Arabidopsis thaliana: one gene and its partners. The protein of the gene in region 3 interacts with the protein of the main gene of each other region in a biochemical or structural test. Each region holds a gene or a part of one and is shown on either strand. Other genes may lie near its edges. The genes, in order: NBR1, APG7 and ATG8F.

Region 1 (3,755 bases), 3.4 Mb from region 3:
CACCGATCCAGACAATCTGTGTGCCCTGTGGCCACACCAGCGAACCACTGTTCCTCATTTTCCAAATCTTAGTAAATGGGGCGGATGGAGCAACAACGGTTCCATCAATTACATTCACATCAAGGACAAACCGACTGTCTAGTTTAGGGCGAGTACACCTGAGAGGTGCACCTCCATTGGTTGCTCGTGGCACAGGGTGGCTCAACCAAGGATTAGGAAACTATACCAAAAAAAAAAGGGTAAGAATTCCTCATAGCTATCAGAGAAGACACATAGAATAAACAAGAAGAAAAGTAATTATAAACTTAGAAGAAGAGCAATACTTGGGTAAACGGTCCTCTAAAAGGATGCAGATGTTGAACGGATACAGGCTTATCCATTCTTGTGTAATCCCCCTCGTTACCCATCACCGAATAGCAGATGGTGCACAGATCATAGTCTTCTTTACTGCACAATATTCACAAGCGAAACATATAAGCACAATAAGTTCTAGCATGTTTATAGTTTCTAAAGTAGTAAGTAGAAGGCATCCTTACACTTTCGACTTAAATCTAGGCCCAGTAATTGGAAGAACTCCACATCCGTCACAACGGATGCCCTTATGGAATACACCCAATGAAGTCCAGTAATCACCATTGGTGCTCTTTTTGGAATGACAAACACGACGAGGATGCTTGTTGAGGTTAACTGGATTTGGACAGGAGTAATTCATGGTACTGCCACTAAAGGGACACTCGTTGAAATTAGCACCCAGTCCAGACGAGTTTGGTACATGACCAGAAGTCTTTGAATGAGCGCCAGTGGGTTCATTCAGATTAACAGGTTTCCTTCCGGTCTGGGTCCTCTCAGAGATATCCTTCTTTCCACCAGCGGAAGGAACATCCCTGCTCAGGGAAGCACCTGAAGAACCAGGCTTGGTAACAGGTGAGCAAGGACTACTTTCCTGAGGAATTGAGAGCTGCCCTAGCTTGGAAATGCAATCAAGCATCTCACCAACTACAGGACTAGAAGTTGAGGCCTTGGATGCAAGGTCCATGTACACCTTTGATATGGTATCACGCATCGGGTTAGGTACAGCCATCAGAACATCATTTATACCCTTCTGGATTTTGGAAACCGGGTTAGGCATACCCGCAGGTGTGGAACTCCCACTACTCTCTGGAGCAGCAGAGTTAGTGGACACGCCAGCGTTCACATTGATCTTTAAGAACTTAAGACGCTGATTAGTAACATCAAAGAGATCGTTGTCATCAACAAGGGCAACCACATCCCCATCCTCATCAGAGTAAGTCAGACTCAATTCAGCATCCGCAGAGAGGTTAAAGAGAGCAGCGATCTTTTCCTTAAGACCAGCCATTTCAAGATCAAGCTGTCCATTAGCTTTAACAGGCACCCTGAAACGCCTAAGCACACCTCCATAGCTCACCTACATAATCACAAACAAAATTAGTATCACTTCAATGAAAAAAATGAAAAAAAATTGTCGAAGAAATAGATTACGATTCTAATTACGATAACTTATAGTTTTAATCATTGTTCGGGTATAAGATTCAAGCAGATACTGCTAAGTATGTCTGGAAAATTTTCGAATTACACTTAAGATTATAATACAGAGACAGAGAGAGAGAGAGTCGATCCATAGCGAAATTCAAAAGGAAAGGACCGATTACAAGCAACAAAATCAACAGAAACGAGACGATCGCCACGAAAACCCAGAATCACCGACAATTACTGTGAGAAAACTGACGATTCGCAAATAAAGAAAGGAAGGTTGTATCTCTAACCTTGACGACGAGTGCGTTAGCAGTAGACTCCATCGGTAACGGAGATCAGATCAGCTGGAGAGAATTAAAAGGCAAGCGAGAAGAAACCCTAATTGAAGAAAAAGAGTATCTAGCGAGAAAAAGAGAGAATCGGGGAGAGATTTATCTTAGAAGAAGCGTACCCGTAATCCGCTTTTCTCGTAAACAACCAAGAATTTAGACGGTCGCGTTTTATACTATATATCATTACACAGAATATTTATTAAAATAATTAATTTAATGGGCCCTTTTGTTTATTTAATTAATTTCTGACTTAGCCAACAAGATTTTGACTTTTTTGGTTACTACTGGCTTATCCAGAAAGACAAATCAAACTAACATCCCTAAGTTAAAGCCAAAAATATCAAGAGATACGAGTACATATAACTAGATATTTTATTTTTCATACTAACATTTTGAAAATTGACCAATTCGAGTTCTTATAAAATACTACATCTTTTATGTTTTCTCCAATAAAATGATCAGATACTATTTTATTTTATTAAAACTTCAACTCTTATGCCGACCACAAAAAATAAAAAAACATTTTAAACTCTAATTTATGAAGTTTGAGAAACAAACACCACCAATTCCAAAATCCAAACTCTTAAAACTCTTATGTTTGCTACCTAACCTCATATAAATTTAGTAAATTTAATTAGATATTTTCTTATTATTACGTTTTGTGAATATAATTTATCATATGAACTTTTTCTGTACATTTTGGTGCGTTCTAATAACTTAGTAACATTGATATACAATTTTATAATATAATAGTCATTTGAGACATTCGACATTCGACATACAAAAAAAAAAATATGAGATTCTATATGGCTATATGCAAGTGAAAAGAATTAAAGTGTGACTTGAATTACTAGCATATCATGATGTGATTGTGTAGTTGATGACAAGAGAATATATGGAATAAATAATTGTTTGTACAATTAATTTAGACAAGTTTCAAAACGCATACATTGTATCAATATATCATATATTGTTTTTATATGTGATCATGACAATAAAATATTAGAATAATAGATATAAATATATATATTATACTAGAATTGATATTTCGAGTTATAGATAAATCTAATCATAAAATAAAAAAATTATATTAAATAGATAGGAATTTATCAAAATGAACATCAAAATCAACCAAAAAACATAATCATATTTTTTTAAGCAACTTTAAAAACAAAAATACTCATGAGTATTCATCTAGTGTATACAAAAGGCTACTACAGTAGTTATAATCATATTCAAACAAGTGACTGAAACATATAATAATAAACTCTCAAGACAAAGACTTTTTTTTTTTAATCTGCCAATACCTCCTCGGATAGGTCTCCTCTCAGCAATCTCCCAAGCTATGTGCCTACGAATTAGCTTCCTCAATCGCCATATCTCAAAATGCAAGTATCCTCAGCATGGCAGCTCTTACTACCTAAATAACAATAAGAGGCCAATCTTAGTTTCTATCACCAGTGAATCCATGACCACCGTTTCTCCCACTAGTACCCCTTTGCTGTTGGTATCCACCCTGCCTTTGCTGCCCCTGTCCCTTCTCTCTGTATCTTGGACCTTCTGTCTGAGAACTCTCTTTCGATTGTTCTCGACTACGTTCTCCATCATAAGTATGAGACCCAACAGGTTTGTATTCATAATGCAGATTTTGCTTCTGTCTATCTCTGTTTGAAGGTGGCCTCTGATGGTGATGGTGCATATTCTCTTGCGCCGGTAAACCCCAACCTCCTTGTGACTCCTGCCCTCTTCCAAACCGTCGACCCTGCCCTGTGTTCTTTTGGAACATACTATTCGGATTTTGCTCAACCTGGACCTCCTTATTGGTAGATCGGTTTTGCAACTGGGCTTGTGTATCAGCTGATGTCGTTTTTTGTTCTGTAGTAAACCCTTGATGCTCGTATCCAACAACATTTTTTTCCTGAGATCCAT
Region 2 (3,755 bases), on a different chromosome or scaffold from region 3:
ACCAATGACGAATTTCGTTCCATGTACACTGGTTTCAAAGGTGTCTCGGCATTATCTAGCCAAAGCCAAACTAAAATGTCGCCGTTTAGGTACCAAAACGTTTCTTCTGGTGCTTTGCCGGTTTCTGTTGACTGGAGGAAGAAAGGAGCTGTGACCCCTATCAAGAATCAAGGCAGCTGCGGTATAACTCAAATCTTTATTCATATATATATAAGTGAAATCAAATTGAACCAACCGAAATTTATGTATTCAATCAATTTGAGTTAATTCATAGTGAACAAACCGATCCAAACCAAATCCATAGTGTAACTGACCGAATCGAATAACCATATTTTTATTAAATTTTTCTATGTTAAGTTATATATATTTTGTTTCATACCGTTTTATTGAGATATGTAGTTAGACACATGAAAATATTTATGATAGTGACACTAATGAGTGATGTTTTTGTAGGATGTTGTTGGGCGTTTTCAGCGGTTGCGGCTATTGAAGGAGCAACACAAATAAAGAAAGGGAAACTTATATCTTTGTCAGAACAACAGCTTGTTGATTGCGACACAAACGATTTTGGCTGCGAAGGCGGTTTAATGGATACTGCGTTTGAGCATATAAAAGCGACTGGCGGCTTGACAACTGAGTCAAATTATCCTTACAAAGGCGAAGACGCTACTTGCAATTCCAAAAAGACCAATCCAAAAGCAACTTCTATTACAGGTTCACTTTAGTTAAAGAGCTGGCATATAATAATTAAACAGATTAAACCGATTTTTAATCATATTATCCAAATTAATAAACATTACTATACTAGATAAAATTCATATTTTGAATCTTAAAAAGCTCATGTACGTTCACATATCATAGGTTATGAGGATGTCCCGGTTAATGATGAGCAAGCACTGATGAAGGCAGTGGCACACCAACCGGTTAGCGTTGGAATTGAAGGAGGTGGTTTTGATTTCCAATTCTATTCGTCTGGTGTGTTCACTGGAGAGTGCACTACGTATCTTGATCATGCAGTAACTGCGATTGGATACGGCGAATCTACTAACGGATCAAAGTATTGGATCATCAAGAATTCATGGGGAACAAAATGGGGAGAAAGTGGATATATGAGGATTCAAAAAGATGTCAAGGATAAACAAGGACTATGTGGTCTTGCCATGAAAGCTTCTTACCCAACTATATGAATTCAAAACCGTGTTAAGCTTTTAATTGTGTATGTTTGTGTGGGATTGATGTCTAAAAATAATTTGAATTGTTTTATGTAAAAAAATTGTATTTAGACTGTTGTATGCATTTTATGAAATTGTAAGCTTATGTAATGCAAAGGATTGATAATTTTCGAAATGTTTCTTTCAAATTTCAACGGTATTAGCTAGGGATAATTTGAAGCATATGCACAATCAAATTCCACCAAGTAAAAATGAAAATTTGTTAAAAAAATGAAGTTTGAAAACTCTTAACCATTTACTGAGAAGACTGTAATAAACCGAATTTGGTTCAGTTTGATTTTTATGGAAAAAGACGAACCGTCCGGTTAATGCTTTTTACTTTTTTAAAATAAACCGGTTTTGGTTTGCTTGGATATAAAGCCGACCCGACCCGGATTGACCATGTTCCTTGCACGACTCCTTTTTCTCACCGTTCTCCGTCATCGTCTTCTTCTTTCTCACATTCATTGACTCTCCTCCATAATAAACATTGCAATCTCTCAGAAAGATAAGATCAGCCATGGCTGAGAAAGAAACTCCAGCAATCATACTTCAATTCGCTCCATTGAACAGTTCCGTCGACGAAGGTTTCTGGCATAGCTTCTCCTCTTTGAAACTCGACAAACTCGGAATCGATGATTCTCCGATTTCAATCACCGGTAAACACACAATCATCGAATTAAAAAATCATCCAATGCATCGATTTTTATATATTATTCGATGAGTCTATGCATTCGAGCTCTTATGATCCGTTTAGGTTAGAGAAGCAAAAAAAAAAGTTGAAAACTTGAAAATCCTCTGTTTTCTGGGCAAGTTGTTATGATCCGTTTAGGTTAGAGAAGCAAAAAAAAAGTTGAGAACTTTAAAAGCCTCTGTTTTGTTTAGTAGAGATTATTCAGATTTAGAATTTATGTGCTTTTTTGGAACTGAAATTTTCAGGTTTCTATGGACCATGTGGACATCCACAAGTCTCAAATCATTTGACTCTTTTATCAGAGTCATTGCCTTTAGATGAACAATCATTGATTGCTAGTACTAGTCATGGAAATAGGAATAAGTGTCCTGTTCCTGGGATTTTGTATAACACCAATACCGTTGAAAGCTTCAATAAACTTGACAAACAAAGTCTGCTAAAAGCAGAAGCAAATAAGGTAAATACAAAACTTAGCTCCGTGACTTGGTTTTTACTGGTTCTTGTCTGCAGAAGTTTTAACAATTTTGTTGGTGAATTTTAGATTTGGGAGGATATTCAATCAGGAAAAGCTCTTGAAGACCCTTCTGTGTTACCAAGATTCCTCGTTATCTCCTTTGCAGACCTTAAGAAATGGAGTTTTCGGTATTGGTTTGCGTTCCCTGCGTTTGTACTTGATCCTCCTGTAAGTTTGATTGAATTAAAGCCAGCTTCAGAGTATTTTAGTTCTGAAGAGGCTGAATCAGTATCCGCTGCTTGTAATGATTGGCGCGACTCAGATTTAACTACTGGTACTCAACATTCTTGTTCTATTTTTTACTATTAAAATTCAAGGAGTGGTAGCTGAAAACCTTTTGTTACTTCTCCGTGTTTTGCTGTAGATGTTCCATTCTTTTTGGTTTCGGTTTCTTCTGATTCAAAAGCTAGTATCAGACATCTTAAAGACTTGGAAGCGTGCCAAGGTGATCATCAAAAGGTATGTGTTAACTAACTCTTCCATATGCGTTAGATACAGAAAAAACAAAATTCACCTTTATGTGTCTCTCTTCCTGCAGTTGCTTTTCGGTTTCTATGACCCGTGTCACCTTCCTAGTAATCCTGGCTGGCCACTTCGAAACTACTTGGCACTGATTCGCTCAAGATGGAACCTCGAGACAGTTTGGTTCTTCTGCTACAGAGAGAGTCGTGGTTTCGCTGACTTGAACCTTTCTCTTGTTGGTCAAGCCTCAATTACACTTTCATCAGGTGAATCAGCTGAGACTGTACCTAACTCAGTGGGATGGGAGCTTAACAAAGGGAAACGTGTACCCCGATCCATTAGCCTTGCTAATTCCATGGATCCAACAAGGTACATTTTTGCTCTGTGTCAATGATCTACTCAACTAAATGGGTAAAATCTGATTAGACAAACGGAATCACGTTCTTTCGCAGGTTGGCTGTTTCTGCTGTCGATTTAAACTTAAAGTTAATGAGATGGCGAGCATTACCGTCTCTTAACTTAAATGTATTGTCCTCTGTCAAATGCCTTCTTCTTGGAGCTGGTACATTGGGTTGCCAAGTTGCTCGTACCCTTATGGTACGTATTGAAGAAAATGCGAGATTTGACATTATTTTACAAACTCACTGATTAACTAAGAACTCGTTTATCTTTTATTTTCTTAGGGTTGGGGAATCCGCAATATCACCTTTGTTGACTATGGAAAAGTTGCCATGTCTAATCCAGTCAGGCAATCTCTCTATAATTTTGAAGATTGTCTAGGTCGTGGTGAGTTTAAAGCTGTTGCTGCTGTTAAAAGCCTTAAACAGATATTTCCAGCAATGGAAACTAGTGGAGTTGTTATGGCTATACCGAT
Region 3 (3,755 bases):
CTTTGACCATTTGTAAATTGTTGGTTGCATGTTTATACTGAATTAAACATTTGCTTCGAATATTTTAGACCAATAAAAATGGTAGAAATATTTTGATCGGTTGACATTTTTGACCGAGAATAGTGGTCGAAAACATCTTACCAAAAAGTGGTCAAAACTTAATGACCAAAATAATGGTGAATATTATTTTTTACCAATTTTCGACCATATATTTCAATCTGACTAACTTATATACAAGATTGGAATATAAGTATAAATCAAAATTCAATTTAATTCTTAAATATTTGATTCATAATAACTTAATAAAAATAAAAATATAATTTAAAATACACAAAAAAACAATACTTTTATACAAGAAATCAATTTTAAAATTATTTGATTAACAAATTTTAAAAATATTTGAGTTTTTGTTTTCCTTAACAAAGTTACCATGTGACTAATATATCTCTCCAATCTTAAGAGTTGGAGTTTGAAACTCTTCTTAACAGAAAAACTCTTTCATGAATGCGGTAAATCTGGAGCTACATGTATAGGTATGTGGAATGCATTTATATCAACCTTAGGCACAAATAGTGAATGCTTCAAAGCAATCCAAGTCTTTGAGAACATTCCTTCCACCTTGATCAAAACTCACTCAACATTTTGGAACGTGATGGTAACTTGTACACATGCTCGACAAACTGAGTATGGGCATTATCTTCTTGCAAGGATAGTCAAGACTCTATGGATAGAACCAACTATTGAAATAATGGGGACATATTTAGACGGCTTGGCTAGAGGAAAAGTGATTGATGAGGCATAACGAGTTGTCAAGACTTTGATTTTCAAGCCTAACTAGGAGATTGCTGTGAGTCTTTTATCAAAGTACAAAAGCCATTCAACACCCATTGAGTTTGCTAAACGTTTTGTGAGGTACCTTGAAGAGAAGAAAGTCACCTTCTACATTGCTGGAACGACTTATAAGGTACTAGACGAAGATGGGGTGGAGTGGAAATCTAATGTCAAGATTAAGAAACAGAAGAAAGGAAAATCCACAATCCACTCCCATTAGAGCAGTTCAAAGTACTATATATTGCTGCACAGCTAAATCATTCGTCAAAGGCATTTCTTAACCATGCTATTTGACCTGAGGTTACGAGAGTAAGGATATAATTGTATTGATTGTTTTGAAACAGTGAAATAAACATGAAAAAGTGCAGTGAAATAAACATGAAAAAGTGCATACTCCCACATATGTGCCCCATATGCTCTAACAAACTTGATAAGTGTCATACGTAGTGAGATACCCTTATATTTTTTTTAGCTTTTTATATACTATTGCTTACAAACCTTATTAATATAGTTAAATAATTAGGGTGGGCATCGGTTTGGATTAAGTAATGATTTTGGATAATGATTAAAAAATAATTTTGATTTTTTTTTCAACTTCAGAAAACTCAATCTTAACTTTTAAAAATGTTTATGTCTTTTCACAACTATAATATTTTATATCTATAAGTAAAAAACTTGTTAGAAAACTTATCTTACTTTGATAAAAGATTCATTTTGATTAATTATCTTTGTTATCCTGTAAATTCTCGGTTTTGACATTAATCACTCAATTCCGGTATTTTAATAAATTACAAAATGAGTTTTGTGCAGTGTTGAAGATATATTCTCAAATACAGTAATTGCTTTCAACCCTTGATTTCGAAATGCCTAAGCTTGAAATCCTAAGCTGTCCATACACCAAGACCTACATCTCCAGATCTCTATAACAGTCATAAAAAAACTTCTGCCTATACTTTATTTATTAGTTTTCATATTTCCATCCGTTTATTTGCAAGGCCCATTACTGCACTAGGCCCTACATTTTGTTAGAAGAGGCAAAGCTTATAAGCGACATTCTCAATTTCCAACTATTACCCTTCCGAACTCTTCACCTAACACACATTTTCTAGGGGTAAACGTGTCATATCGTATGCAGAAACGTGATCCCAGCATATCCGGTTCTTCTTTATCCTTTGTTGGAGGCAATATCTACGTAGACAGTTACCTCGTACACCTTCAGTAAAATGGACGGTTGAGATTCCTATTTCAGTAAATAGCTAATATCTACCGTCAGATTCTCACTGAACAGATTAAGCATACAACGTCAGCTGAAGTGTTTAGATGTTACCATACACCATCTGTAGAGAATCTCTGACCTTATCGCATAATTTTTTAATGTTTTGCAGAATTTTTGTAGGTTGCTTATTTGCTTTTTCTTTCATATTTTTTCGTTAATTGTTGTTGTTATCTTCAACGATAGCGTTGTGCTCTGGAGAAGTGTTTGATCGCAGAAAAGCTTCGTTCTTTGTAGTCTACAGGTTTGATCACTGAGTTCTTAACTTCTTTTTTGGTTTGATTGCGATCCTGTACTTTCGTTTAGATTACTTAAAGGTTGGGTCTTTAACATGATCGACTGATAGATTTGTGGGAATTTTGATAATCTGAGTTCCAGAGTTTGGGAATTGATGATTTGATTTGAGTGTTAAATTTGTTTTGATGGTTGTCTGATTGGTGTCACCTATTTGTTATGTGTGTGTAGGCGTGGAAGGAATGGCAAAAAGCTCGTTCAAGCAAGAGCATGACTTAGGTTTGGATTTGAGCTTTGTTCTTGCTTTACTGTTTGGTCCTCGAAATCAAAACCTTGTGCTTTGATCTAATGATCCTGTTTCCTAAATCTTCAGAGAAGAGAAGGGCAGAGGCTGCTAGGATTAGAGAGAAGTATCCTGATAGGATTCCGGTGAGACTTTCAGTGTCTCTCTTATACATTGATCGATCATACATTTCTAAAGTTATATGTGATTAGCATATTGTTTCCCTTTCTATGTTCGGATCAATCTTTTGTGTTTGACTGAGTTTATGCAGGTTAAGTTGTTGTGGTTTATGGCCCAGCAATATGGTAGTAATGAACTTATTGGGATATAATGAACTTATTGGGATAGCATCTGGTTTTAAATGGACACCCTACCCGACTAAAGGATGGTTATCAAGTTATTATTGTTTGATTAGCTTCATGCTTGTGATATATGTTTGCCACTGTTTCAACTACATGGAGTTGATTGAGTTATAGTGACTATAACAACATTAGGACTTTGAATTTAGTTGTCATTTTTTGGAACGTGACTTTCTGAAACTCGATTCTTACTGAGTACTTACGGCTTAGATAAGTAGATTTGCATGATTCATGTGGCTACGTGCTTTATGATTCACATGGTAAAAATGACACTTGAGATGATGATTTCCACGCATTTATATTTTTGTGGGATCCAGGTGATTGTTGAGAAGGCTGAGAAGAGTGATATACCAACCATCGACAAGAAAAAGTAAGCATATAAATGGCATCAGTATCCTTTTCATTCGGACCTGACTTGTTAATAATAGTGATTGATAACTAAGCTTTTTTCAAATTTGCAGGTACCTAGTCCCGGCTGATCTGACTGTGGGGCAGTTTGTGTATGTCATTCGCAAAAGAATCAAATTGAGTGCAGAAAAGGCTATCTTCATATTCGTGGACAATGTTCTTCCTCCAGCAGGTAAACAGATAGATCTCCTCTGTATTCAAGACTCAGGAGTTTCATTATCTTTTAACACAAGTAACAAGAGCATAAGAAGGCGTCTACTTATATGTTCCCCGGTGATTATAAATTCTTTATATTTGGCTGATCTGATCTGGTAACTTTGCAGGTGCGCTCATGTCTTCTGTGTACGAAGAGAAAAAGGATGATGAT

What was found.
Region 1: the proteins of ATG8F (region 3) and NBR1 form a complex in vitro, tested with the Arabidopsis thaliana proteins (one study listed by BioGRID).
Region 2: the proteins of ATG8F (region 3) and APG7 form a complex in vitro, tested with the Arabidopsis thaliana proteins (one study listed by BioGRID).

What each region holds. Positions count from the first base shown.
Region 1 is NC_003075.7:12,739,253-12,743,007, reverse strand, and holds the start of NBR1 (ubiquitin-associated (UBA)/TS-N domain-containing protein / octicosapeptide/Phox/Bemp1 (PB1) domain-containing protein), read right to left. Parts: upstream 1,977-3,755; 5' UTR 1,818-1,976; coding exon 1,785-1,817; intron 1,427-1,784; coding exon 537-1,426; intron 448-536; coding exon 324-447; intron 221-323; coding exon 1-220. Other genes in the region: MOS1 (modifier of snc1), read right to left, coding at 3,271-3,755. UniProt on the Arabidopsis thaliana protein: Autophagic substrate degraded in the vacuole by non-selective autophagy. Requires ATG8 protein expression to be recognized as an autophagic substrate. Acts probably as a receptor for autophagosomal degradation of ubiquitinated proteins.
Region 2 is NC_003076.8:18,613,573-18,617,327, forward strand, and holds the start of APG7 (ThiF family protein), read left to right. Parts: upstream 1-1,602; 5' UTR 1,603-1,731; coding exon 1,732-1,870; intron 1,871-2,150; coding exon 2,151-2,362; intron 2,363-2,446; coding exon 2,447-2,693; intron 2,694-2,783; coding exon 2,784-2,878; intron 2,879-2,957; coding exon 2,958-3,250; intron 3,251-3,333; coding exon 3,334-3,478; intron 3,479-3,564; coding exon 3,565-3,755. Other genes in the region: SAG12 (senescence-associated gene 12), read left to right, coding at 1-181, 454-714, 862-1,187.
Region 3 is NC_003075.7:9,306,939-9,310,693, reverse strand, and holds the start of ATG8F (Ubiquitin-like superfamily protein), read left to right. Parts: upstream 1-2,155; 5' UTR 2,156-2,348; exon of another isoform or gene 2,349-2,569; 5' UTR 2,570-2,580; coding exon 2,581-2,617; intron 2,618-2,711; coding exon 2,712-2,767; exon of another isoform or gene 2,768-3,204; coding exon of another isoform or gene 3,205-3,297; coding exon 3,298-3,350; intron 3,351-3,441; coding exon 3,442-3,560; intron 3,561-3,711; coding exon 3,712-3,755. UniProt on the Arabidopsis thaliana protein: Ubiquitin-like modifier involved in autophagosomes formation. May mediate the delivery of the autophagosomes to the vacuole via the microtubule cytoskeleton.